Rattus norvegicus: one gene and its partners. The protein of the gene in region 1 interacts with the protein of each later gene in a pairwise test. Links are inferred from orthologs where the notes say so. Each region holds a gene or a part of one and is shown on either strand. Other genes may lie near its edges. The genes, in order: Creb3, Tmem234, Stx8, Aqp5, Slc35c2, Vkorc1 and Tmem51.

Region 1 (4,223 bases):
GGTGTGTTGGATGGCAGCTAACCTTCCCAATGAAATTCTCTCCACAGCTTTTCTGCCAATAGGCATTCACCTTCTGTGTGGACATCTCCACAGGACACGTGTCCAGCACTTAAAAGCCAGAGTTTTCTTATTTTTATGTGTATAGGTGTTTTGCCTGCATGTCTGTATAATGTATATGTATAATGTGTGTGCCTGGTGCCCACACAGGCTAGAGGACAATGACAGATCTCCTGGGACTGAAGTTACAGATAATTGTGAGCTGCCATGTGGGTGCTGGGACTGGAACTCACGCCCCACGGAAGAGCAGAAAGTGCTCTAAACCACTAAGCCATCTTTACAGCTGCCAATTAATTTAAAAAGTTCCTCCTAAGCTAGGTGTGGTTGTACATGCCTGTAATATCGGCACTTGGGAGGAAGAGGAAGGAGGTCAGGATTTCAAGACCATCCTTGGTTAGGGTAGTTTTCAGGACAGACTGAGTGAACTACAGAAGACTATGTCTCAGAACTAACAACTACCACCATCCTTATCCTAAACCCACATCAATCTTCTAGTTTCCACCCATTGGATTTTCCTAGGCTCTCTAGAATGATATAGAACATCTTTATCTTAAGTACTTTAAACTCTTTTTTTTTCAGAAATTAAAACTGAATAAAGTTAACTCTCATAGTCTCTGATAATGCTTGTCAAACCTGGACAGTAGCCAGGAGTGATGTCATACACTTGTAATCTGGTCCTAGGAAGCTAGAAGCAGGAGAACCAGGAATTCAAAGGCATTCTTTACCTACGACACAGTGTGAGGCCAGCCCAGCCTGGGCTTACAAGACCCTGCCTTACAAACCAGGGCTGGAGGGCGTAGCCAGTGGTAGAGCACTTGGTGAGTATTCCAGAGGTGCTATATTCCAATCCCAGGGGTAGGAGAATTATGGTATGCTTTGGCCAGTGTAAAGGAGGACAAGACAGTTACTGTCCTAGGGACGGAGCCACTATTGATAATTCCAAAACTCCATTTTCTTTCCTATTAACTACTATACTGCTCATTCATCTCGTAATGGCAGGAGAGGGATAGGAGAGGGTTTATCATGTGGGCCAGGCTTGCTTAAACTCAACATGAAGCGAAGTCTGGCCTTTAACTCCTGATCCACCTGTCCCAAATAAGTCAGTACATACATAACAAAAGAAGTAAGACAATAAAAGGGGCACAAAAACTAGATGCAGTATGCTTTCACTTGGGAAGTGACCTTGAGCGTGGGAGGACCTTCCTGCCTCTGCCTCTAGGGTTATGGCAGTGTGAGCCCCTCAAGTCCAGCTTTGTTACAACTTTGTTACAGCTTTGTAACAACTATTGTTGTTAGACTGCTTCAGCCTCTCCAGCATATCTACTCTACCACTGAGCAAAAGGCGAAGTCCCAAGATAGCAACGAAATCTGTCAAGGCCATCATTTGAAGGCCCTTTCAAGGCTCTGTTCTAAAGTTACTCTACATTTAAAAAATTATCTTGGGGCTGGGGATTTAGCTCAGTGGTAGAGTGCTTACCTAGGAAGCGCAAGGCCCTGGGTTCGGTCCCCAGCTCCGAAAAAAAGAACAAAAAAAAAAAATTATCTTTTGTACATGGGGGTCTCTCCTTCCATCACGTGGGTCCTGGGAGTTAAGCAAGGCCTTTTCCTACAAAGCCATACACTGATAATTTTGAAAGGAACGCCAAAATGTATATCAGCGCCACAAGACCAGGATCTACCCTGGTATCTGCTCGTCCCAGGTTCCCACTATCAGCTTCCATTCTGACCTCAGTCCTTTTGTAAGTGATCGATATGAAATAAACTGAGTTTGCCTACTTGGGTTATACAATCCCCCTCCAGCTTTTGCTCTACTACCAGAAGCCTTACCTTAGTGAGAGGAAGTGTTGAGGGCAGAGTGAGCCCCTCCTTCTCCAAAAGCCTTTTCTCTTCCTCCGTCAGTATCAGTGTAGAAAGTTCCTAAGGTTGGAGGAAGAGAGCAGAGTTGCATGGTGATGTCAGAGCAGTATGGGGGATTCTTGGCCGCTGCAAAGTGAGGTAATCCTGAAACACCAAGCCCAGTACCTGCTCTGCTGCTGTCTCCTCCACACGCAATGGATTCATGCGGAACCCCTCCTTTTCAAAGCTCCCAGGATCTGCAAAAGCGAAAGTAGGGCTAGCAAGTTCAGTGAGCTCTCTCTTTCCCCATAACTTAACATTTCACACTCACCTAGATCTATGGAGACGTGCTCCTGTGGAAGGGAATAGTTGTGATCATGGAGAATAGAAGAACTAGAAGAGTTGAGAACATCCGGCGATGACGAGGGACTGAGCAGAGAGCTCAGTAAATCCTCTACCTCCCAGTCGCTCAATTCTTGCACGGAGTTCTAACAAAATCAAAGGCCTTGTTTTATCTCTGTACCTTGGGTCTCAGGGACATCGCTAGCTTCCCCACTCAGAACACCCACCCACCTCGGAAGGCGACAGCTCCAAGTCCAGGGGAGTCTCTATGTCCTGCTCAGTCGCAGCCCACAAATCTCCACTTTCCTCTAGCAGGAAGCCCAGCAGGTCCTGATCACCAGGATCCAAAGCTAGCAGGTCCTGATCACCAGGATCCAAAGCTAGCAGGTCCTGACCACCAGGATCCATTTGGAATATTTATGGATAGAAACTCCTCTGCGCAGATCCAATCTCCGAACCTTAGGCACGACCCCTCAGTCTGTCAAGTCGCATCGACTTAACCTTAGTCACTCCCGGACCAGGGCCTAGCTGTTACTCTATATGCCACACCCGCCTCTCAGCTTCTATTCCCCTCAGCGTCCAACATAACGGAAGTGATGCACATAGTCCCGTGGAATCCTGGGACTTGGAGTTCCCTCCAACTCGGAAGTGGCTTGTGTAGTGCGCCACGTCCCAGGGGCTATGCAAATTATGGGGATGTCCCTTCAGCTTCCCACGCCCCAGGGCGGGGATTCTGAGGATCCGGATCCGCCTTCGCCGCGAGCTATTAAAAAAACCCTAAGAGTCTAAAAGGGAACTCCCGTTTAGTTCGGGCGTTCTCTCCAGTGCTCTGCACCCTCGCTTCCTGCCGGGGAGGGGCGGCCAGGCTTCGCGGGAGCCCGAGCATCGAGAGCTGCGGCCAGAGCAGCTTCCTGCAGTCTCTGCGACCATAGAGCGGACCGCCGGCGGGTGGGGGACGTTTCCAGGACGGAAGTGGACGAGAGTGTGTCGAAGGGAGGGCGAGGCCGGAGCCCCAAAGCGACCGGGAGAACGAGCGGGTAGCGGGCCCAGGGCGGGGCGCAGAGCTGGGCAGCGCAGGTAGGCCGGACGGGCTGGGCTGAGGTTCTAGGTGGGGCTGCGGGATCAGGCCGGCCCGGGAAGCGGCGGGCGGGGCCCCCAATCCTCTTGCATATCCTGTGTCCGGTTGGGGAGGTCAGGGTACAGTACGTTTCAGTTTAGGTTTGAAATTAAGCCAGCCGTGTTGCGAGAGACAGGCCCTTTTCGCGGGAGTAGACAGTTCTCTGTCTCGGATAGTTTTTGGGACGGGTAGAAATGGGGTGGCAGTGAGGCATTGGGCGGGGATGGGCTTTGGTGTTAGCCGATAGTGAGTATGTGGTTAGGAAAACTTTGGGTGAGTTTGAGTTAGGTGCGTCGGGTTTAGGAAGCAAGGATCCCATTAGAAGTTAAGAAGCTGGACTACATTTTAAACATGCATGAGTCAAGTCTCTTTCGTGTTTGTGACATTTAAACTGAGGTCATTATTTTCTGGAATGACCAGCATAAGTCAGTGTACAGGATCGGGTTAAGGATCAACAACAGGAATTGGCTTAGAAGCTCGTTTCAGGGATTAAAGGCCATTGTCATGGTCAGTATTAAGAATAAACAGTGAGAAGGTGAATTAAGAATCAAGGTAGAAATGAGCTTTAGGACTGGGGAGAGGGGCAGTATTTAGGGTTAAAGTTAGGGGATTTGGGCCTAAAAATAAAAGCCAGATTAGTATGGTTGTGTGCTAGGAAAGGGGTAAGTGTCAAAATATAGGGAATTAGGATACAAAATAAAGTCAGGATTAATGTTAGGAATTAGTGATAGCATCAGAGTCAAGGCTGCAGCTACAGCTGAACAGGTAAAATGTAAGAAGTTGGGCAGCAAGTAGCTGCCTTTGTTTTGTAGTGAGCTCTCTTATTCCTGTGTGATCACAGAGGCTCCTTTTATCCAAAGAGATGACAGAG
Region 2 (4,067 bases), about 85 Mb from region 1:
GTATGCAATTTTGACCAATGTAGGTAAGGTTAGTTTGTAGACAAAAGCCATGAAAGTGATGTCTAATTGACAGGCAAAGTGACTAACCAGAGAAAAATATGACAGAATGAGTCAGAGACAGGATATGTCCAACTCTCACAAGAACAGACAGGACAGGGGAGAGCATGGGAGGGGGCAAGTTTTTTTTAAACTTATTTATGTATGAGCATTCTGTCTGCATAACAGGATAGCACATAAGATCCCATTACAGATGGTTGTGAGGCACCATGTGGTTGCTGGGAATTGAACTCGGGACCTCTGGAAGAACACTCAGTGCTCTTAACTGCCGAGCCTTCTCTCCAGCCCCTTTACTGGGACAGTTTTACAGAGACAGGTGACAGGTGACAAGTGAAGACAGAACAAGCCAGAGAATGAGAAGTAGCAGAAAATTAGAACAGACTGCCAGAGTTGGTTAGAGGCGTCACAGTGCTCTGAAACCCACTATATAAAGCCAAGATTCAAATAAAGGACTTACTGTAGGCCAGGCAGGTAGTGTAGAGGGGAATCAGAACATCACTTACATGGGTGTTTGGTAAACACCTATAATCCCAGCATTTAGAAGACAGATACAAAGATCACGATTTGAAAGGGGCCAGTGTGGTCACTCAGTGGTAAAGGTTCTTGCCATCAAGACTGATGAGCCCAGCTCATTACTAGAATCTCCAAGATAAAAGGAGAACCTACTCCTAAAACTTGTCCTCTGACCAAACACGCATTATAACACATGCGCACACACACATACACACACAAAATAAATCTAGTCAAAAAAATTAAAACAATCATCACACAAGCAGAAAAAGTATCAAGAAAACCCCCCCTCCCAAACAAGAGGTCAGCACTTATGAGACCACAATGAACTTTCCTTCTGCTGCTACACAAGACTGTCAGGCCAGCTTTAGTGACTGGCCTCTCACTGATCCCCCTCACTGCCCCTGTGACTCACAGAAGGACCAGAAACAGGTGCTCTCCCTCACTAATAGGTGCAAGGGGTTTCAGGTTTCCCTGAAAAATATGGCCTCCACCCCAGAGAAGACCCAAGCTAGAGACCCACCTGTTGATGCCAACGTCAAGTAGTAGAGAAGGGAACCACTCTGATTAAGGAGAAAGGGCATCAGGTACTAGAAAGAGGAGAAACCTGTCAGTGATTGCCTGCATGGGCAACAGTCTTCTCGGTTCTCCAGAGCAGTGGTTCTCAACCCTAACGCTGCAACCCTTTAATTCAGTTCCTCATGTTGTGGTGACCCCCAACCATAAAATTGTTTTCATTGTTATTTCACAACTGTAACTTTGCTACACTTATGAACGGTGATATAAATATCTGACATTTGGGATATCTGGTATTAGGCCCCTTTCCAGTTACTACTCAGTTTGAGAACCCGGGTTCTAGCTTATGCCATTCCCCCAGGGGGAGGGATGGCTACAAATGCTCAGGGAACACTCATGTGTTGGGTTTTTGTTTGTTTGTTTGTTTGTTTTCTTCTTTTTTCTTTTTTTTCGGAGCTGAGGACCGAACCCAGGGCCTTGCGCTTGCTAAGCAAGCGGTCTACCACTGAGCTAAATCCCTAACCCCACACTCATGTGTTTGAGGACTCTTTAGAGCAAAGAGAGAAACACAGTCAATGTACTCTATTGCCTTAAATATCCTCTCCCTCGTCCTGGCCAGTTCCCATCTTTCCTTGAGTGACAGTGTCACCCCTTCCAGGAAGCCCACTCCCTGTCCTCCAACTCCCATCTCTCTCAGAGTTCACACAGTACTTTATCTGTACCCCTCAGAGTGCTGCATATCTAGCTAGCTTACATCGGCAGCTATGGCTTGTAGGCAGTTCATTATAGCCTTCCTTAGGTACAACTCCAGGGCAAAGAAAGCTTCTGGAAATGCTCCAAATCGTTATATAATTGATAGGGTGACAATGACATTAAGAGCCTGGCCGTGGCAGCGCCTTTAATCCCAGCACTCGGGAGTCAGAGACAGGCTGATCCCTGAGTTCGAGGCTAGACTGTTCAGGATAGTCAGGGCTACACTGAGAAACACAGTCTCAAAAAAAAAAAAAAAAAAAAAGTCATAGATTGAACATGTACGCTGTACTAGGCCCAATGCTAAGTGTTTTGCGTCTTACCTCAATTCTTCTATCTGCCCTATACATGGGTTATCATTAAAATTTCCATTTTACGGATGATGAAACTGAGACTCACAGGGGATAAATGAGCTTCCAGGAGCTTCTAGTGAGTAGGAGGTGGGCTGAGAATCTGGCCGACCAGCGACCAAACACTCAGCGGCTCCTCCCGAGCGTACGCACCTCAGTATTCAAGAAGAGAGCCTTCATCTCCCCCACCAGCTGCCGGGCCCATGTCCGCTCATGCACCTGCTGCAAGCCGGAGGAGGCCCGCTTCAGCAGTGGCTGCGTGCCACCCCATAGTGCAGCCACCAGCACCAGAGCAAGCACCTGCCCTGAAAGCAAAGGGTCAGAAAGTCACCCCGGCCCTCTCCTGCTTCCTCCAGCCCGGCTGACCGGCTCCATCTCCCTCCCGCGCTCTCCGCGCCGGGCAGCGATAGGTCGGGAGGACCGGCCGGCAAAACGGCGGAAGTGAGACCGGGAGACCAGGGTGCGTGGTTTAGCATTCCTGCGATTCAGGGATGCCAGGGGAGTGAGAAGAGATTCTCCGAGTTGGAGAGTCGGAGCCCGCAGAGGGGCGGGGCCAGCTACCCACCCAAGGATGCCGCCATGGAAACGCCGGGCCCTTCTACTTCCGGGAGCGAGAGGGCGGAGTCCTCACATCCGGAAGTCGCCCCAGTCTTCTTCCGGTCCTACTCACATTGCCTCTCTCCTCGCGTCACCGCCAGGATGGTGAGTTCCAGGCACGCTGTGCTGCTGTCGGGGGTCCTCAGTAGACTTGGGACAGGGTTTCAGGCACTGACACTCCGGTTCTGTCCTCACAGAAGCCCATCCTGCTTCAGGGCCATGAGCGGTCCATCACGCAAATCAAGTACAACCGCGAAGGAGACCTCCTTTTCACTGTGGCCAAAGACCCCGTGAGCGACTGCGCGAGGGCGGGAGGGCCGGGCGGGGCACCGGGGGGAGCGAGTTCGCGCCGCCGGGACAGAGGGTGAGGTGAACAAGGTTTGCTGCCGGAGGGATATTTCTCTGAAAAGCAGGGAAAACCACCCATAACCGGAGTAGGGTAGCGACAGCATTCTGCCAGGAAAATCTGGAAGATGTTGGTGGATGAAAGGAAAGAGTACCCAGGGAGAAGAAAATTAAGAGATTGAAATTTAACCCTTCTAAACTACAGTTTTCCCTTTTAGTAAAACATGGAAGCTTTTAGTAGCTCCCCCAGCAAGTGAGGTCATTCTTCTAAATAGTTTTGCACCGCACCTCATGTATGTTAGTCGCTTATATTTTAAGGTTCATAGACATGGTTTTATTGGAGCGTCACAGCTGCCCTTTGAAGAAAGCTGTTAACAGGGGTGGGGTATCTATCCAAGCTGGCCTGAACCTCTCCATCTTCCTGCCTCAGCCTCCTGGTCTTAGGAATACAAATGTGTGCTACCACGTACAGCTCCTCCCAGTGCTTTAAAAAAAAAATTATATATATTTTGTGTGTGTGTAATCATTTTATTTTATGTGTATGGGTGCTTTCCTGCATGTGTGCGTCTGGTACCTGAGAAGGCCAGAAGATCCCCTGAAACTGCAGCTACAGATTGTTGGTATCGTGTGGGTGTTGGGAATCGAACCCATGTCGTCTGGAAGAGCAGCCAGTATTCTTTAAGCTCTGAGCCATCTCTTCAGCTCTCATAGCCATTTAAAGGAAAGAAGCCCTGTATTTAAGATGACAGGGTGAGCTAGTGACAAAGCACCAGAGCCCATGCGTCCTTACTGTCATCTGTAGTCAGCTGAACAGGACCTGAAAGATTTTTTTAGGCTGGAACTCAATCTTGTCTTGGACTCCTGAATCCAGACAAAAGCGTATGAGGGTGCTGTGGCAGGCCTGGCTCTTCTGCCGCTTATGTTAGGAACGGAGGAGAACCC
Region 3 (3,500 bases), on another chromosome or scaffold:
TCACTCAGTGCCAGAGCCCTGGAGAGGAGAGCAGTCTCTCTTCTGAACTTGTTTGCTTCTGTGATATTCCCAACCATGAACTTAAGGTCCAGAATCGGGGAGAGGCCGATGCTAAAGGTGTAACAATTTATCCTTCATTAGCCCCAGCAATGGAGGCTGTGTTCAGGGCAGCTGTTAGCTATATGCACTGCCCATCACAGGCTGGCAAAGAACCTGGGGAAGAAAGCCGACAAGGAAGCCCCTCCCTCTATGGCTTTGTCCTAGCCTCACCAGGACACAATTTTCAATAGGCCAACTTCAGGAGTTTACCAGGCAGAAAACTCAAAGAAGGCAAAAGAAAACTTCGAGCTGTATTCTCCATGAGTATGCCCCACCTAACAAGAGCTTAAGCTGAACACACCAGGCTTATGAAATCCGGGGAATTAATGAAAACTAAAGGCAGAAGGAAAATACAATCAGATGCTATAAACAAGCAGACTTTGTACAGAATAGAAACTCACTGCTAGAGCTCTGAAGAGGAGAGTAGCTTCTCTTCTGAACTCGTTTCCTCCTGTCGTGACGGCGCCTGAGTCCTCAGGGGCCTGGGTGTCCCTGTAAATGAAAGCATCGTACCTGATCAAATCCGGCTCGGAACCCTCATTCTTAAACGATGCCAGGAGCAGTCTCTCTCGGGTGACAAGATCATCCAGAAGGTTCTGTCTTCGATCCCCCTCCAGTTGTGTTCTGTGGTCAGTTGTTAAGGTCCAACAGTGGGTGGCTTAGCTCATTTCCCTAAGGCTTTATTAACCCAAGTCACCTGCAGCCATTACAGGCTCCACCTACTGCTACCCAGAATCCTTCAGGTAAATGACCCTGACTGTACCACTGCAAATGGATAATGCAGACACTGACAGAGATCACTATTAGAGTCCTATCACTAAAGAGTATACCACGTAAAAGCTGGTTTGCCTGTCTATTTCTTTTGCCAGTGAACAGTCTACAAGGGCAAGCTGGAGCCTTAGGCTTAAGCTTCAGGTGTTAGCTTTCAAGGGTGTCTGCTAACTTATCAATGCCCTAAGATAGGGCCGGGATGACTCCTAGCAGTGCAAAAACAAACTCAAAACACCCTTCCCACAAAGCCTAAGGTTTGGAAAGGGGGAGGTGTCTCCCGTGAACGTAATAGTTCAGATGGAAGCTTCGTGAAAGTTGTTTTTGTGCATCAATGTGCTGTGAAAGATGTTTCTGTCAGCTCAGTAGTTAGAAGTACTATAGATCTTTGTGGGAAACCACAAACAAGTCGACATGTTATTCTAGTAAATGTGGCAGACTTGGAACCTAAAGGCAGAGCTTCACCTGTCGAGACAGATGCTTCTTTATTGTTGGTGTGGGGGGGGTGGGGAGAGGGGTTCATGTCACAGTGCATGTAAAGGTCAGAGGACAACTTTGTGGGGTCTGTTCTCTCCTTTTTCACCCTTCCATTGACTCCTGGAATCCTCCTCAGAGCTTCAGGCCTGCAGGACAGGTGTTACTGACTGAGGTGATCACCAGTCATGGCTGTTTCTTTATATGGAACTCCAGAACACTTACATCTTTCCGTAGGTTTTGTGGTACTAGGACTTATCTCCAGAGCCATTGGATTTACTGCCAAGCCACACCCTCAGTCCTTAAACCCAAAGTTCCTTTTTTGTTTGTCTTTCTGAGACCCAGTTTACTATGTAGCCCAAGCTGGTCTCCCACTCCCGATCACCTCCCTGAGTGTACGCACTAGCTTTCTTGAAACAAAACAATAGATGTTAAGTTCTGTGGGTTCACCGGAACAGAGCTGAAGAGGGGCACAGTGAGTGAGCTGCCGCCCTGCAAGCCTGAGGCCTTGAGTTTGGATTCGGGACAGCTCTGGGAAGCAGACCTGGCAGGGTTCACCTGAAGCCGCAGAACTGGTGGGAAGGGGGAATGGAGACTGGCAGACCCCAGGCAACTCTCTGCCAGCCCAAATCCATGAACTTGGGTTTCACCAAGAGACCTCTCTCAAAAGAATGAAGTGTGAAGAGACTGAGGAAGATGCTGCACATGGACCTCCAGTCTCCACATCTGTGTGTGTATAACCACATGTTCACACACACTCAAAACAGTAAAAGAAATGTTGAAGAAAACTCCATCAAGGACAGGACATGGGAAGTAAACAAACAGATTTAAGAAAAAAATCTTGTGTCTGACATCAAATAGAAAAAGAAAAACAAACAAGGGGTATCTGGCTTTGATTTTTTTTTTTTTTTTTACCGAATGGCGGTTTCATCAGATCTGAAGGCTGGCAATGAGAAGCAGGGCTGGCCACTAATACCAGTTCTGGCAACAACAGTAAGCATGAAAGATGGCTGCTTCGGGTTACAGATCCTTTTCTTTGTAAAAAAACAGATCATAAGGGGCTGGCGAAATGGTTTAGCAAGGAAGGTGCTTGCCACCAAGCCTGAGGACCTCAGTTTGAGTCCCAGAACCCGTATGGTAGAAGAGAACTGACTCCCTCGAGGCCTCAATCTGCCACATGCACACCACAGGATGAGTGTGTACATTCACAAATACATAAGTCTAAAGGGGTCATAAAACATTGTGTTCAGGCCCCAAAGTTTCTGAGAACTCAGCAGAACCTAGGATTAGCATCACTACTGCCTGGGAGGGAAATCCACGGCTCAGGGATCTACGAGTTCTGCTGTTAATTTTGTACAGAGAAGTGTTGGCTAGCTAGTAGGAACAGTAAACAAACCCCGGCAAAAAAAAAAAAAAGTTTCCCTCAATAACAGAGTTATTAGAAAAATCATAAATCTCCTAAGCCTGAGTCTTTGCACCATAGTTACTCTACATATTAAAAAATAATAACAATAAATGGCTTCTCTCAACATTCCAGCATGCCACATGTCCCTGGGTCCAGTCACCCCCATCACTTTTCCATCTCCTGCTGACAGCAGTTACCAAGCACCCCAGCTTGGAAACCATGGTGTTGCAACTGTAACTAAGAAACAGAACCCCACATATTCTTATTCTTATTCTTATTATTCTTTAATAAAAAGGCCAAATATTCATCTTCTGATCAGTGCCAACCAAGAACAAGTATCTATCTATGTCTTTCAAATTAATGATAAACTGCCAATAAAGCAGAGAGCTCTTATTCGATTTAAGCAGTGTTCCTTGGTGATGGGGCAGGGAGAAAACAGAAGCTGTGAAAAGAATTACACAGAACAAGGCCAAACGGAAACTCTACGTTGTGGGGCTGTTAGTTATGTCCCAGTATCAGCTAGCCTTCCCTACATGTTCTGCCCGCCTACTGTGCAGACCTGACGTTCTGTAGAGGTCTTATTAATCAGCCTCCCAAGCAAACATACACTGGACACTCGCTGAACAAAACTCCAGGGTTAAAATTATATAAAAATCCAAATGGCCCTGGAACTTAAAACATTAAAAGACAAAATTGTATCACTATTATTAGGAGAATGCATAGGATGTTTTAATAATCTTGAATGAAAAAAATC
Region 4 (4,222 bases), on another chromosome or scaffold:
CCCCAGGACTCGGGGACCACGCTCTTCCCCACCAGAACACAGAACTCATGGACCTTGAAAGGAAATGGACACCAATTTCAGACCTTCAGAGGGAAAGGTGTCTTTCCATCTTGGGGACTGATATTGTTAGCCAGTCCTTAATGACAAAGTCATGGACCCTCCACGGAGGCAGGCAGAGCCCAGGAGAGACAGGATTCCCAATCTCACCCCCAAAGGGAGGCAACTGTGCCTTCTGAAGAGATGGACAGAACCTCCAATACACGTGTCTTCCAAAGTGCAGGGCCCAGCAAGGCTGCTGATACATGGAAACACTGTCTAGGGGTACAGTCCCTCCCAGAAGAGTAAGCCTCAATATCTCCACAGGGACAGATAAATACAACATTAGAGGACAGCTACACGGAGGGGCAGACGAAATCCTCAGATTAACACAGACCCCCCCTCCAATGCACTTCTGAAGACTCGTTGATTCATTCCACCCTTCTCTGGCTGAGCGTCACCCCCTTCTGCGTTCTCTTCTCTTTCCAACCTCCAAGTTCTGGGCCGAAACACCCAGAAAGTTCAGTCACTTCAGGACTTTCAGTTCAGCACGCTGCCTGCCATGAGGAGCGGGAGGAAGGCCACACTTACCCAGTGAGAGGGGCTGAACCGGTTCATGACCACCGCAGGGCCGAAAGATCGGGCTGGGTTCATGGAACAGCCGGTGAAGTAGATCTGGGTAGATGGGGGGTTCATGGTGAGGAGGGCACCATCCCTTCCACTCCCACAGATTTCTGACTCTCTCGGGGGTCATACAGTGCAGGGGCCAGCCACATCTCAAATCCAGGTTTCTCAGTTTCTAGGATGCTGACTGTCCATGCAGCCCAGCTGCCCACCACACACTCCTAAACACATCCCCTGCCTTCTCAGCCTTTGCTTCAGCTTGAGTCTCTATGCTCCCTTCCTTCCACTCGTTCAGTTTCTCAGTCCAGAGAGGGTTTTTTTTTGGGGGGGGTGGGCAACATTAAACCTAGGGTCCAGTAAGGCAACAGCCTAGATAGTCAAGACCAGGTCTTAAACTCTGCTGGGTCTTATCCATCTGGAGGAGCTGGTGTTCAACTCCACGACACCCCAGCTTGTGTCAGCACTACTCACCCCCACAAGATGGCCCAGTGTGACAGACAAGCCAATGGATAAGGCTGGGGAGCCCACAGGGCTGGTTCGGCGAGAGTCGGTGGAGGAGAAGATGCAGAGGGCTAGCTGGAAAGTCAAGATTAACTCCACCACCATGGCCTTGCCAGGCGTTGTGTTGTTGTTCAGCTGTAAGGAAGAGCTGGGTTAGGAGCCTGCTGCCTTCAGGCTCTGTGACAGGGGTAGACAAGCGAGGCTCTGGTCTTCAAGGACACCTAGAGCCTGAGCTCTTGGAAGCCAAGAGCATGACCCAGACGGGCTATTGGAGAAACCGCACTTCAGTGTGCACAAGCTTGAAGCTCTCAGGCCTGTAGCCGGAGGGTAGGGTGTCAGCGAGTTTTCCTGGGTGCCATCATGTCAACGACTCTGCCCAATCCCCAGCCCCCATGAGCTGGCATTTACCCTCCCTCCTGTGGGCAGCTGCCCAGTTTGCCTACTGCAAACAGCCCCTGGCCTCCTATCCGTGCCTGACCCACTGCCAGTGCCAACTTCAAACCCGTCTCTCCAGTGGCTGACTCACAGCTTGACAATGGCCGAGAAAATCCTCCTCTGTGTTTGATTAATGAGCCCAGTTCACATGGGACAGGGGGCTGAATCTAGGGCTCCAAAAATGGGGAGACAACAGGAGGCAGGAACAGGGATTACAGAAGAGGGAGCCAGTATTGGGGGCGGTGTCCCATCATGGCTTCCAAGTGCAATCCCCACGACACTGTGCTCTAATCACCTCCACGTAATGGCTAATAAACTGGAAGCCCAGGGAGATCACGGTTGCTCTAGACCGGGACTGATTACTACTACCCCTTGCTCTCTGGTGGGTCTGTTAAAATGACACCACCAAGGGGATGACAAGAAAGAACTCACAGGTGAGATTAGAAATTGAAGAGATGTCTCGGTGGCCAGGGGGAGTTAGGCCAGGAAGAGCGGCCTAAGAGGGAAGGGTAGAGGAGGTAGAATGTGAAGAGAAGCCAGGACCAAGGAGCCAGGACCAGGGAGCACCGAGCTTGGCTAGGAGGTTGGTCAGCCTGTTCTTACCGGCATAGTTGTGCACTGTTGCTTGGCTTGTACCCTTTATCCTTTCTTAAGAAGGGGGAAGCATGGAGGATCTGGTCTGAAATGTCCCCAGCGTCCCTGGCCATCCCTCCACAGTCTGGTGGACACTCACCGCATTGACGGCCAGGTTACCCCGGGCATTGAGTGGCGCCAGCCAGTACAGGATGCCTGCCCCAGCAATGGCGCCCACCAGCTGGGCTGCCACGTAGAAGACAGCTCGGAGCAGCGAGATCTGGTTTCCTATTAAGAGGGCCAGAGTAATGGCTGGATTGATGTGGCCACCACTCACAGGTCCCAGAGCTTGGGCTAAGGTACCTATGGCCAGGCCAAAGGCAATTGAGATTTGCAGAATGGTGGGCAGAGCCGAGGGCCACTTGAGTGCTGAGCCCAGGCCAAAGAAGACGAAGATGAGGGTGGCCAGGAACTCTGCGAACACCGCCTTGAAGAAGGCAAGGGAGCACACCTCCTTTTTCATGGTGGCCTTGGGGGCCCGGTGGCAGCGGGAGGGTTGCGGGGCGGCCGTCGGGGCGGCGCTGGTAGCGGCGGGCGTCTGTCTGCGGGGCTCTGCGCGCGGTGCGGTGCCCACTCGGTGGCAGGTGACCTGGCGCGGACCGGGCAGGGGCGCGCTATATAGAGGGCGCGCGCCCCGCGGCGGGCAGAGCGCGGGGGGGCCGGGGGCGGCTCCCGCGCCCAGGGGCCAGCGCAGAGCGCAGGGCGCGAGCCTGGCCGGGGCGCGCTCGCCTCCCCCCGCTCCGCGCGCCCCGGGCCCCCCAGCCGCACAGCGGCGGACCCGCCCGGGCCACGTGACCCACGCGGCGGTGTAAACCGGCCCCGCGGCCTGGGTCGCGCGCATCGTGCGCTCAGCGCTGTTCCCGCGCCCTCCTGGCCGACGTGCGTGCGGGACTCCCCGGGCTGCTGAGCGCGGTCCTGGCTCTCCGCTCCCACAGAGCTCTGGAAGTCCGTCTCCGGCCGGCTTTACCGGCGTCCCGGGCCGACCGGCAGCCTTCCCCCTTTCTCCTCCTCTGGCTCGCGCGACCCGAGCATCTTGACCCGGTCTCACCCTCGGCCCGGCCAGAGTGATGCGATTCTCTGAGGACAGCGCCTCTTAGCTCCCAATCCGCCCGTGGCGGGGGCGGTTCGGCCATTGTGGGCCTCTCCCCGGTCCAGCCCGGCGGGAGCGGGGGCGTTGGGTCGGGAGCGCAATGCCAGCCTAATGGCAATCCTCGACGCCGCGTGTGGCAGTGTTGGCTCTAGGCAGCGGGCTCTAGGAGGCGTTCTCAGTGGGAGCCCTTGGGGACCTCGGAGTGTTGACCAATTTGGGTTGTTTGGGCTTAGGGAAGTGGCCCTGAGACTGGTGTCAGAGGGAAGGATCTTGGCCTCTTCTGTTTCCAACCCACCAGAACTCCCTCACTTTAGACCTTTGAGTGGCTGTTTGCTTTTTATCCTTGTTCTTTCTTCTCTCTCTCTCTCTCTCTCTCTCTCTCTCTCTCTCTCTCTCTCTCTCTCTCTCTCTCCATGTGCGTGAGTTCCTCCATCTCTCTGACTCTTGGTTTTTGCTTTTTCTTTCTTTTTTTCCCCCAGTCAATCCGTCCATTACTGTTTCTAGCTCTTTCCTTGGTCTCTTTTAACCTGTGGGTCTTTATTTCTGCCCGGCTATCTCCCATTCCTACGTCGGACACTCATACAGTTTGTCTTTCTGGCCCCCACCCCCACCCCATCAAGTCCTTCCACTCTTGTACTGGGCAGCACATTTTTATAGTTTCCAGCTCCCTCTTGTCCTCCCAACCCTCCCTCTGCAGGTTTGGTATGTGTGAAAGGAGATTGGAGGGCTTTCCAGGGTTTGGGGGCAGGGCAAGGATCCACCCTCAGGATCCCAGAAAAGGAGCTGCCTACCCTCTGCCCCCCAAAATTCGTGCTTGAGCTCTTTGCATGGTATCACCCATAGAGCAAGGCCCAGGAGAGTCACCTCCGCCTTGGTCAATTTTAAAAACCTCCTAGGGCAATT
Region 5 (4,153 bases), on another chromosome or scaffold:
TCACTGACGGCAACAGTGCTCACAGCTCTGGAGCTGCTGGCGTGGTGGCTGTGAGCTTCCCCTCATGGTGGGCTCACTCTCGTGGATTCTACAGCAAGAAGAATTCTCACTGCAACTCCAGCACCGCAGAAACGAACAGAGCGAAGTATGTCTTATTTCACCCTACAGTTTGGGCACTGACTTCCGGGTTAATAAACAGGCCATGATTAAAGCCATGATGGGTCCAACGAGGAGGCCTTGCCCCACGTGCGTAAGGCAGCCTTATATCTTGATATACTTTCTGTAGGCTCACATCTCCCCAGCATGCAGCCAGTTCTGGTCACCATGAACTCCAGAGGCAGATCCAACTGCTAACCAGACCTGTTCACCTGATCTCACCTCTGATCTCAGGCTCCCGTTGATACAGTTAAACAGTTGGGGACCCAGGGTTAAAGCTTCCTCAAACAGACCTCGAGGTTCCCATTCCCTCAATGCTTGGGGCTCTGTAGCCTGAGACTACTGAATCTTTCTGGGAGAGGCCAGTCTTCTACGCGGCAATCCGTTAACAAATCCGTTTCTACCCAGCAGATGCCACGAGTTTCATGTCCCCCACCCCAAGTTGTAACAACCCAGGCCGTGCCCAGAAATTACTTTGTAGTGCTGGTCTAGCATGTGGAGGGTCTGGGTTGAGTCTCCAACACTCCAGAACAGCCCACACCGTGCTCCCTGAGAACCACCGCCTCCCATTCCCAGGCAGTCGTGGGGCACACTACATGCCAGGGTATCCTGTTCCCCTTTCTCTCAACTTACTAACCTGACTACTTCTGACCACTTCCTCCTTGGTCAATGTACTGCCATTTGTCTACTGTTCAAGCCTCACCTTTCCTTCAGAGAGCTTCTCGAGCTCCCCACTTCTGTGGGACACCATGCAGAAAGTCACCTATCCCCATACGCAAAGACAGAGCTCAGCCAGAAAGGACCCCAGGAAGCAGACATTCACTCTGTGCGTCCTCACTAAGCAGTGATTTGCCTCACACTGGCTAGACAAAATGTAAAACCCCTAAGGGCCTCATCCTCCCTCGATGGTAAGGGAGAGCGGGTTTCTAATCACATCAACCCAAGCAAGGAATTCAGCGGGCGTCCCTTTCCCCAAGAAACCGTGCCTACCTCAGAGCAGGGTGGGCAACGATGCTGTAACACCTGGCTGCCCTCTAGCTCCTCAGCGGAATGTGGCTGTACAGCTTAGTGCTTCAAAGACCTGTGAGAAAACCCGTCTGTGTCACCGACAACGGAGACTGCGTTATCTGGCCTGCTCTGACTCAGTTTCTCTAGCTGTGCGGTTTTGGGGCAGGGGCGTCACTAGCAGCACTTGACACTGGCCCGTGGTAAGAATCATTCCGTCACAAAGCTTCCCAAAGTCAGCCCACCCCCTTACCTCCCTTACCTTACCAGGCTGTTCACTCAGGCAGTTACTCTTTCCCTGTCACCTGGTCAGAGCCCAGGTTTCTGTGGCTCCTCTCATGAAACTGACAGCTTCCTCCTCAGAGACCTAGTGGGTGTAGCTTACCACAGTCTCTGGAGTCTTCTGCTTTCTGTAAAGCTGTCTGACCAGACCCCTCTCTAACTCAGCCAGTAAGCACTGGTGCCCGAGGGCTGGGATCCGGCCTCTTTGCCGCCTTCATTCCCAGCCCACCAAGACCACCCCAAGCTCTCTGTGAAGGCAGAGGAACCCGGCCCACAGACAGCTCAACCTCAGGGTACCTCGAGAACCTATCTTAATATTCCTCAGGTCTCCATCTGACTCTCAAATCTCTTAGAAATAGCCACCCTAACAACTGTTTACTTAGGCCCAAGGCAGTGATCAATGAAGCCATTTCTGTCTCCCAGCGTTCCTCATCTCCTGCCCTGTCCAGTCCACCTCTGGTTATTCATGGACCTATCTACTTCTCTTCACTTCTCCCACCACCACAGACTATACGCTACAGTTTCCATTCACCTGCACTTGCCTGCCGTCCAGAAAGAGCCAGAGACTGGTCGGTGGTTAGTGAGGTCAACCTGACAGCATCTAGGATCACCTGGGAAATGGGCCTCAGAGCATACCAGAAAGGGGTTCTCTTGACCAGGTTAACTGATATGGGGAGACCCATGCTGTTGTGGGCAGGGACTCCTGGACTCCATAAAAGTAGGGAGAGGGACACTAGCAAACACTGATGGCTCTCAAGGTTCCCGGCTTCAGGACCATGGAAATGTGACCAGCTGCTTCAAGCACTTACTGCCCTGACTTCCTCACGATGGACAGCACAAGGAACTATGGGGGAAAATAAGCCCTTCCTTCCTTAAGTTGCATCAGGGAAAGAAACTAAGATTGCCGATTTCTATAGACTGGAGATCCCTGGGCTGGGTCCACAAGCCCTCCCAGGATCCTGCCTGTCAGCTGCAACCCCACATACGGCCGTGTGCCCAGCACATCAGCCGGTGTCCTCCTTGGCAACCTGATGCTCTCTGCGTCTGTCCCCTTCCCCAGGGCCCCCACTGCGCGTGGCACTTCCCACCGCGTGACGAATGTGTTTGCTCACGTGTCCCTGCCGCGCCTGCTCAGCAGTGTCCATCTGGATAACCCCATCCCCCAGACCCGGCCCCTCGTAAGAATTTAGCGAATGCCAGGCGAACGGGCACAGAGCCAGAGGAAGGCTGGGGAAACTGAGGCCGGGCCAGAATGCAGGGGACCGCCCACCGCACGCCCACTTACCTCCACCCAGGTTCTCGCCGGGAGATTCCTGCCGGAAACTCGAGATGGGCACTGTCCCGCTGGAAGCGAGACTTCCGCCGGAAGCCGGTGGGGGTGGGCGGAGCCAGAACAACTCCCTCAACTAAGGCGGCCACAGCAAGCTTTCTAACAGTGCCTCTGTAGTTTTCCCCTAAGCGAGCACCAGGAACGAATCACAGATACTAATAACTCTGTAGCGGGCCTTTTTCTTTTGGGACCTCAAGCAGCTAGGATAATGATTTGACAACCATTAAATTTTAGAGGTAAAAGATCTTGGCAAAGTAATAATGGACACTTTGTGAAATTACATGTGCCTATACTTTTGTGAGAATTATTCAATAAGCTGAGTACGGGAAGTTCATCCCAGAGGAAATGGAACCCGAAAGGAAGTGGATGAGAAGGATCTAGTCTTACTGGGAGCCCAGGAAGACAGGTGGCCTCAGAACAATTTAGCATACCTGGATTTGATTCATTTTAGGAACAGGGTACGTGAGCAAGATAATCTCTTAAGCCAAGCAAGCTAGGGCTGCAAACCCGAGCTGGCCCACTTCTGGGCTTCTGCTCATCCGGGCTCTACTAGGACTGGCTGCAAACAGAGATTCTTGCACATGACTTGGCTGGGCTCCTGGCTCCTAGCAGAAGGCTCAAGGCCAGAGTGTAAGCTGTGCTTTGTGCGCACTGCTGCTGCAGGCTGCTGCCAGCTGGCACCACGAAAGCTTTAGTTTATTCAATGCTTCCTAAGACCTACAGTGGTGCCCATTGCAGCCCAAGGTCCTGGCTTCATTCAGTGCTCAAGGCCTGTGTTGCATGCACTTTCTATGCCTTCTGAAAGCGCCTGTCCTCACCCCCCCCCCCCTTCTGACAGCGGCAAGAGGAAGTATCTATTTTCATCACTGCTCTCATTCAAACCTCCCCGCTACCGAGGCTGCTGGTAGGAGCAACAGCTTAAAGCACCAGCTGGAAGGCTGGGTACTGAGCGCAGGCAACACACGGGGTGCAGAACATGTCTTCTTTGAAAGGCACAAGTACTTGATCTGTTCCCTGGCTGTGTCCCTGGCAGGGAAAAAAGGGAGGATGGGTTCTTGGGGGTGTACAGTATGCCTTTCCACGTTGTACCCAGCAGGGCTGAGCAGGAAACGCTCTGTCCTGTACCACAGTCTGTGAGCATCCTCAGCCAGCAGGTGTGAGTAGTCTGTGCGTGACAGAGCAGGATCAACCAGGGGAGAGGGAGATGCTCTTGGAAGGTGGCTGGAGCTCTCCAGACGCTCCCAGGCACACTGAAGTGAAGACCGCCAGGTGGCTCCCTACCCTTGGGGCAGGGAACAAGTGTAGAGGAAGAGGTGTTGACAGGAACCAGTCTACATGAAAGAGTATTTATTGAAAACACTGTGACTGACAGGAAGCCCC
Region 6 (4,210 bases), on another chromosome or scaffold:
GTTTGAGCTCTACCATAGTAAGAAGTTCCAACCCAGTTTGCCCTCCAGGTGTGTAGCAGGCCCTCCTACGACAGGGTCTGATCTGTAGGCAGCAGGCGCAAGCTTGTTTCCTGGACGTGGGGGCTGATGTGTCAGGTTTTGCTGACTACACATGCTAGAGATGATGCAGCTCCCCTTCCGGGCAGGCCCTCCATTCTGACTCATCCCAGTTCCAGAGAAGGCAGTAACACGGAAAGACCAACACCCCGAAGGGTCCCTGGCAGACATATGCTTCAGACTTGACCAACATAGAAAAATTTATTGTTCAAAATCCTTCTCTTTGACCAATAGCAGAAAGCAGCCCAATGGGGACAGAACCTAGAGGCACATTTGGTCATTTTTCTGTGTGTGGTTATAGAGGGGTGTTTGAATGAGGGTGATAGGGCCTTTTAGGGACCCACACACGATACACTTGGGCAAGGCTCATGTGCTAAGGCAAAGCAAGTCATGTCAGCCTGGCATGAGGTGGGACCTCAGGGCTTTTTGACCTTGTGTTCTGGCACCTTCTGGAAGCTAAGCAACATCAGGCCCGCATTGATGGCATAGGTGGTGATGCAAACAATGCAGAAATCATACAGGACAAAGAACAGGATCCAGGCCAGGTACAGAGAACCAGCGACAGACACCAGGGAACTCAGGATCAGTAGGATAGAGGCCCAACGTCCCCTCAAGCAACCTGTAAAACAAGAGAGGGTCAGTAATGGTATACCTGGAACTCTGTAACACCTCCCCAATGACAGGCAGCAGGTGCTTCTGGTGAAAGTGCTCTAACACAGGATCTGATGGGCCTCATCTGTTCAATAATTCTTGGGACCCAGAGTGAATTCTCTTGCTAAACTACGTAAGATGAAACACGAGTTCCTATTGGAGTCCTCTCAAAAGGAAGTTCAAGGTCAACCTGGAATGTCTCCAAAAACAAAACAAAACCCACCAACTGAGTACGGTTGTGTACAGTCCCAGCACTCAAGAAGCAAAGGCAGGAGGATCTCTGCAAGTTCCAGGCCAGACTGATTTTATTTAATGAGTTCTAGGACAACCAGGGTTATGTAGAGAGACCATGTCTCAAAAAGAACAAAACTCACTAGGTGTGGCCCAAAGCTTTAATTCTAGCACTCGTTGGCAGAGGCAGGCAAATTTCTGAGTTCAAGGCCAGCCTGGCTTACACAGTAACTTCCAGGACAGCCACGGTTACACAGAGAAACCCTGTCTTGGGGGAGAAAAAAAAAGGAGAAAGAGAGAGAAGAAAAACCAAAACACAACAATAACAACCAAAAACTAAACAAAAAGAAAAAAGAATTGAGTCTTTGCCATAAAACTGAGATTGTGGGAAATTTTGAGGGCCCTTCAAGCCTCTGGCTACCTAAACCTAAAGCAACTTGGATACTCCTGCTAAGTGTTCTCCTTGTGAGGAAATTGCTCAGTAATTAGCAGCTGGCTGTCAACTGTCTGGGTCACCAAGACATGAGGTGGGGTTGGTCTGGATTTCAGAGGACAGGTCATGAGGGGGCAAAGCCACTCACCTAACAACAGCTGTATGGTGTAGAACATGCAACCAAATATGCTGTTGGATTGGTTGAGGATGCTGTCAGCTCCTAACACGTGCTCCACCAGCCCAAAGCCCCGGCCCCACCTGGTGGAAGTGAAAGAACCAGGTAAGTGCAGTCAGCCTGGTGCCTCCGGAGCTTTTTTTTCTAAAAAAAAGTGATTAGCAAGAAGCTCCACCCACCAAGAATCCAAAGGTCGGCCACCTTGTCCCCTACTCTTTTTTTTTTTTTTTCTTTTCTTTTTTTCGGAGCTGGGGACCGAACCCAGGGCCTTGCACCCAGGGCCTTGCGCTTGCTAGGCAAGTGCTCTACCGCTGAGCTAAATCCCCAACCCCCTTGTCCCCTACTCTTACTGGCCTGTCATCACAGGCCATCAATAACTTTTCAGGAGTTGGTGCGAGGGCTCAGCAAATAAGTGCCTGCTGCCAAACCTGTCGACTGGATTAAATCTCTGCGACCCATAAAGTAGAAGAGAATCAGCTCCCGAAAGTTATTTTGACTTCCACATGTATGTAGTGGCATGCATGTGCCACCTCACAAACAAATAAATATAAGGTTAAATTTTTTTCCAGCTTGATTTCACTTTACGGTGACCACAACTGGGAAATCTATTTGCTTTGGGCCCACAAAGCTACAGTTCTCGCCACCCACTGACATTCGGTCCTCCTACAAAACCCAGAGTGAGCACTTTGTCTCTCAGCACGGTCAAAGCTCCACCACCTCCTCCCGCTTTGTGCCATCCCAATCACCCTCTGTCTCTATTCGCTATACTGCCCTGCCTCCGCCAATCTTCCAATCACAGTTATTCACTGGCGTCCTCAGAAAGCGTTCAAATACCATTATCTCTGAGTGGTCCAGCCCGTGTGCACGTCCGATTACCCATAAAAACTCGTGGGGGGCAGTCCGCTCTTAAAGTGTCTATTCTGCGGACACTGCGACCCCAGACTCCAAAATCATCTGGCAACCTGGCCGTCAGGTACACTGGTTTTCAAGAAACCCATGCTTTTCATTTCTGCACGCACCGAGAGGAGAAGACGCGGGAACAGCTGATGGCCGTGCCCACGTCGCAGAGCGCGCGGTAATCCTCATTGCGGGCGCGCGCCGCCTTCACGTGCAGTGCGTACAGTGAGAGGGCTAGGCCAGCGAGGCATAGTGCAAGCCGCAAACGTCCAGGGCTCCTCCAGGTGGTGCCCATGTCGACAGTACAGCGCAGACACAAGAGGGAAGAACCCGCCACGGGGCAGGGCGTGGTCTGATGTGACCACGCCCCTCCGACCGGAAGGTTGACAAGCCTCCGCTGGCATTCTCCAATTCAATTGGTTATTCTTAGGCGTGACAGCTAGGAATGCTGGGCTGGTAAACAGGATTAAGGAATGTGGGGTAATCATTGATACAACAACTGCCGGGCATGATGGGAATTGTAGTTGGAGAGGCTGCAAGACATTAAGGGAAATTTGAGTATGTAGTGTTGTTGGTTCTTTTTTTTTTTTTTTTTTTTTTTCCTTCGGAGCTGGGGACGGAACCCAGGGCCTTGCGCTTCCTAGGCAAGCGCTCTACCACTGAGCTAAATCCCCAACCCCGAGTATGTAGTGTTGTAAAGATAGTATTAACACGACGGTGCACAGCTTAGTGCATTAAATTTTTTTATTTTACACACACACACACACACGCACGCTACACAAACACAGATACAAACAGTAGCTATCTTCAGACATACCAGAAGAGGGCACTGGGTCCCGTTACAAATGGTTTTGAGCCATCGTGTGAAGTTGCTGGAATTGAACTCAGGCCTTCTGGAAGCGCAGTCAGTGCTCTTTGCTGCTAAACTACCTCCCCAGACCAGCTTTGCACATTTTTTTATGCCAAGTCCTGTTGTATGCATTCGGCATGTCTAGAATCTACAGACCAATGGACTAGTGGAATTCAGCGAAAGCTGGGATGCTACTCAGGAAGCATTTCCCTTGAAATTACTTCAGATGCTATTTGGCTATAACCTGTTTCCAGGTCACCGCCAGCTATCCCTTGTGTCTCACTAGCGCCCCTTGTGGTCGGAGGCACCCTCACTCTCAGAATGAATTCTGTTATCTAGGCCACATTTTGTGATTTCCCAGACCTCGGTACCGTGTGGTGCCCTCTTGGCAAAACCTGAGCCTGGATCAACCCAACAATCCCTCTTATATTATCTCCCATTACAAGTATCCTACCTACTGAGGACCTGTCAGTTCTGAGTTCTCTGACTCTCCATCCTTCCCATTTGCATGGAGTTCCTTCACCAACCCCCTCCCCTACTGACCTTAAATCTTAACCCTTCACAGGCAAGTTTTGGAAAGATTTTACATTTTTCAGTCTTCTTTACTTCTGTCTTGATACTTACATAATAAACTAGCTGCCCTTGAACATCTCCTTGACACCTAGTTGCAAGTGTGACCTGGACATCAGGTCCAATGTTTATTTTTAGAGTCATGCGGTGGTTTGACCTCCAAGTGATATCAGTTGCTGCTTTAAGGAACTCTTTCTTTATGGATGACTGCCCTCCCTCCATGGCTGCTCTTTCTCAGGTCTTCTACTTCTACTTCAGAGAGTGTGGTGGATGCCGTGTTCCTGCTCAGATGAGACTCAGAAGCCCA
Region 7 (2,763 bases), about 97 Mb from region 1:
TGGTCCTCGGGGTTATCATGGCCATGTGGAACCTGGTTCCTGGTTTCAGCCCTGCGGATAAGCCAACGGCTCAGGGCAACAAGACAGAGGGAGGTGGTGGCATCCTCAAGAGCAAGACTTTTTCAGTGGCCTACGTGCTGGTCGGGGCCGGCGTGATGTTGCTGCTGCTATCCATCTGCCTGAGCATCCGGGACAAGAGGAAGCTGCGGCAGAGTGAGGAGCTGGCCAGAATTCAGCAGCAGGCAGGAGCCGTGCCCCCCTCCCAAGAGGAAGACAGGTAAGATCCAAGTGACTGCTCCCTCCACCCTAGGGTAGGGACACACTTGCGCACGGGATGGTGGAGAGAGCACTTTACTCCCCGAGTCTGTATTTCCACTCTCCTAAAGGAAGGTGCCTCATATTTTTACAAACAGCCTTGTGCTTACTAGATGCAGGCTTCTAGGTGGATAATATGGTGTAGCACAGAAACTGGTGGGGCCTAGGGTCCCAGCGCTCTGTTGTTTGTCTCTCTGTCCCAGGTGCTGTGTGTGTCTACTTTGATTTTAGAAGGTCAAGGCACAATTATTTTGCTTGGTCAGAAATATCACGAACATATTTAAATGATAGACGATAGATAGGGCCTATGTAATAAAAGTTTGGCGTCTCTTTTAGACACATTTCTGTTGCTGTGCTCAAAGCACTCTGACAAACGCAACTTAAGGGAGAAAGGATCTATTTAGCTCACAATTGCAGGTCTGTCATTTTGGGAGAGTCAAGAAGAGAGAGGGATGAGTTAATGTATGCAGACAGCCCTGCACTCAGTTCTGGGTCTCTCTCTCTCTCTTTTTTAAATATTTATTTATTATATATAAGTACACTGTAGCTGTCTTCAGATACACCAGAAGAGGTTATCTGATCTCATTACAGATGGTTATGAGCCACTATGTGGTTGCTGGGATTTGAACTCATGACCTCTGGAAGAGCAGTCAGTGCTCTTAACCACTGAGCCATCTCTTTGGCCCTGGGTCTCCTTTTCATCCAGTCATGAAATGCTGCCACCCAATTCAGGGTGTACCTTCCCACCTCCATTGACATAGTCAACACCACCACGCCCTGCACACACAGCCTCAGGCGTTCTCAGAGGCCTGTCTCCCAAGCCATGCTAAATCGGTGTTTCTCAACATGTGGATCGATATCCCTTGGGCAAATCTCCATTTTCAAAAATATTTATATTGTGATTCATAACAGCAGCAAAGTTGCAGTTATGAAGTAGCAATGGGAATATGGCTGGGGCGTCACCGTAACATGAAGAACAGTGCTGAAGGGTTGCAGCATTAGGAAGGTTGAGAACCACTGTTCTAGCCAGTGCAAGCTAAGGAGCATAGGCACTCAGCACAGCATCCATACTAGGTGTTCTTCTCGCTGCTCTGACCAAATACACAGAGTTGGCTTAAGGACAGAGGCTTTATTCCGTCTCTCAGTTTGAGGCTAGGGTCCATTGTGGACAGGAAGGTGCGGCCGCAGGAGCCTGGGGTGGCTGGTTACATCATGTGGGAACTCAGGAAGCAGAAAGAAATGAATGTTGATTTTCAGGTCCCTGTCTTCTTCTTCCGCTTCATCCAGACCCAGCCCATAAATGGTGTTGCTCACATTTAAGTCAGGGTGGATCTACCATACACAGTTAAACCTCCCTGGAAACTCCCCTGGTCTCCATATGCATGGCTTTGACCTTGATGGGGCCACAGGGAATGAACACGTGACAACCACAAGTAAATCTGGGACTGAGTGGGTCATGCACACTCTAATGGAGAGGCACCAGCCACAGCCAGGAAATTCACCACCTTAGGGGGGTCTCTGTGGAGGAAGTAGCCTTAAGCTGCAGCCATGGGGAGGAAACTGCAGTCAGTACTTTCTGCTCCTACTGGTCAACCGTAGACCAGGGAAAAGGCCTTGCCATTCCCGAGTCTGGGACATTGGCATTCTTGACACGGTCCTATTCATGTGAACAGTGCACATTGACACAGGGCTTCATCTACTCCCAGTGACCCTCACAGACATCCCAGAGACGTGTCTCCTAGGTGATGCCTAATCTCAAGATGACGATGAGGATGAACCCCTCCCTCCATCATAAAAGAGCCCCGTGAATCGACACAAAAGATGTGCATACTGGTCAGAAGATAGAGAGAGGTGACAAGCAATGGTTTCATAGCTGTTCCACCTCATTAATCCTGGCGTACAAATAAAAAGACACTTTGTGGGGTTGGGGATTTGGCTCAGTGGTAGAGCGCTTGCCTAGGAAGCGCAAGGTCCTGGGTTCGGTCCCCAGCCCCGAAAAAAAAGAAAAAGAAAAAAAAAGACACTTTGTCCTCCCAGGCCCCTCTCTCACCTACGTCAGCCAAGACAGGAAGGTTCTAGCATCAGAGAATTAGAAGGACAGTATTCCATGAACATTATGGGGACAGCAAAATGGTTCGATGGGTAAAAGAGCCTGCTGCCAAGCCTGACCACCTAAGTTTGACCTCAGGAACCCACATGAAGCTCACCTCCCACCTCCATGTGTGCACCATGACACAAGCACGTGGGTGGGCATGCACAAATAAAAGACAGGTAGATAGATTGGCGATTCCCCCAGACATGGCTGACCTGCGTTCCTTAATGCAGAGCAATCCCCACATCACTGAGAATGAGACATTATAGTGGTATAGCCTTTAGAAGGCTCCAGAATGTGAGACACTGTGGGTGGGCTCGAGAGGGACAGCGGCAGACAGACAGGGACCATGGTAC

Evidence for each region.
Region 2: the proteins of Creb3 (region 1) and Tmem234 interact in a two-hybrid assay, tested with the Homo sapiens proteins (2 studies listed by BioGRID and IntAct). The two-hybrid records come from large-scale screens. The link is inferred for Rattus norvegicus from reciprocal best matches to the Homo sapiens genes CREB3 and TMEM234.
Region 3: the proteins of Creb3 (region 1) and Stx8 interact in a two-hybrid assay, tested with the Homo sapiens proteins (3 studies listed by BioGRID and IntAct). The two-hybrid records come from large-scale screens. The link is inferred for Rattus norvegicus from reciprocal best matches to the Homo sapiens genes CREB3 and STX8.
Region 4: the proteins of Creb3 (region 1) and Aqp5 interact in a two-hybrid assay, tested with the Homo sapiens proteins (2 studies listed by BioGRID and IntAct). The two-hybrid records come from large-scale screens. The link is inferred for Rattus norvegicus from reciprocal best matches to the Homo sapiens genes CREB3 and AQP5.
Region 5: the proteins of Creb3 (region 1) and Slc35c2 interact in a two-hybrid assay, tested with the Homo sapiens proteins (2 studies listed by BioGRID and IntAct). The link is inferred for Rattus norvegicus from reciprocal best matches to the Homo sapiens genes CREB3 and SLC35H1.
Region 6: the proteins of Creb3 (region 1) and Vkorc1 interact in a two-hybrid assay, tested with the Homo sapiens proteins (2 studies listed by BioGRID and IntAct). The two-hybrid records come from large-scale screens. The link is inferred for Rattus norvegicus from reciprocal best matches to the Homo sapiens genes CREB3 and VKORC1.
Region 7: the proteins of Creb3 (region 1) and Tmem51 interact in a two-hybrid assay, tested with the Homo sapiens proteins (2 studies listed by BioGRID and IntAct). The two-hybrid records come from large-scale screens. The link is inferred for Rattus norvegicus from reciprocal best matches to the Homo sapiens genes CREB3 and TMEM51.

Annotation. Positions count from the first base shown.
Region 1 is NC_086023.1:62,612,229-62,616,451, reverse strand, and holds the start of Creb3 (cyclic AMP-responsive element-binding protein 3), read right to left. Parts: upstream 2,801-4,223; 5' UTR 2,644-2,800; coding exon 2,467-2,643; intron 2,382-2,466; coding exon 2,225-2,381; intron 2,151-2,224; coding exon 2,080-2,150; intron 1,975-2,079; coding exon 1,885-1,974; intron 1-1,884. UniProt on the Homo sapiens protein: Endoplasmic reticulum (ER)-bound sequence-specific transcription factor that directly binds DNA and activates transcription. Plays a role in the unfolded protein response (UPR), promoting cell survival versus ER stress-induced apoptotic cell death.
Region 2 is NC_086023.1:147,225,688-147,229,754, reverse strand, and holds the start of Tmem234 (transmembrane protein 234 precursor), read right to left. Parts: upstream 2,801-4,067; 5' UTR 2,765-2,800; coding exon 2,749-2,764; intron 2,489-2,748; coding exon 2,337-2,488; intron 1,158-2,336; coding exon 1,091-1,157; intron 1-1,090. Other genes in the region: Eif3i (eukaryotic translation initiation factor 3 subunit I), read left to right, coding at 2,883-2,885, 2,978-3,070.
Region 3 is NC_086028.1:53,168,172-53,171,671, reverse strand, and holds part of Stx8 (syntaxin-8), read right to left. Parts: intron 724-3,500; coding exon 613-723; intron 1-612. UniProt on the Homo sapiens protein: Vesicle trafficking protein that functions in the early secretory pathway, possibly by mediating retrograde transport from cis-Golgi membranes to the ER.
Region 4 is NC_086025.1:132,600,106-132,604,327, reverse strand, and holds the start of Aqp5 (aquaporin-5), read right to left. Parts: upstream 2,801-4,222; 5' UTR 2,693-2,800; coding exon 2,330-2,692; intron 1,297-2,329; coding exon 1,132-1,296; intron 712-1,131; coding exon 628-711; intron 1-627. UniProt on the Homo sapiens protein: Aquaporins form homotetrameric transmembrane channels, with each monomer independently mediating water transport across the plasma membrane along its osmotic gradient. Plays an important role in fluid secretion in salivary glands.
Region 5 is NC_086021.1:174,439,983-174,444,135, forward strand, and holds the start of Slc35c2 (solute carrier family 35 member C2), read right to left. Parts: upstream 2,801-4,153; 5' UTR 2,729-2,800; exon of another isoform or gene 1,976-2,728; intron 1,927-1,975; exon of another isoform or gene 1,424-1,926; intron 1,238-1,423; exon of another isoform or gene 1,147-1,237; intron 894-1,146; exon of another isoform or gene 1-893.
Region 6 is NC_086019.1:191,932,691-191,936,900, forward strand, and holds Vkorc1 (vitamin K epoxide reductase complex subunit 1), read right to left. Parts: upstream 2,801-4,210; 5' UTR 2,779-2,800; coding exon 2,606-2,778; intron 1,670-2,605; coding exon 1,560-1,669; intron 716-1,559; coding exon 513-715; 3' UTR 279-512; downstream 1-278.
Region 7 is NC_086023.1:159,611,129-159,613,891, reverse strand, and holds part of Tmem51 (transmembrane protein 51), read left to right. Parts: coding exon 1-277; intron 278-2,763.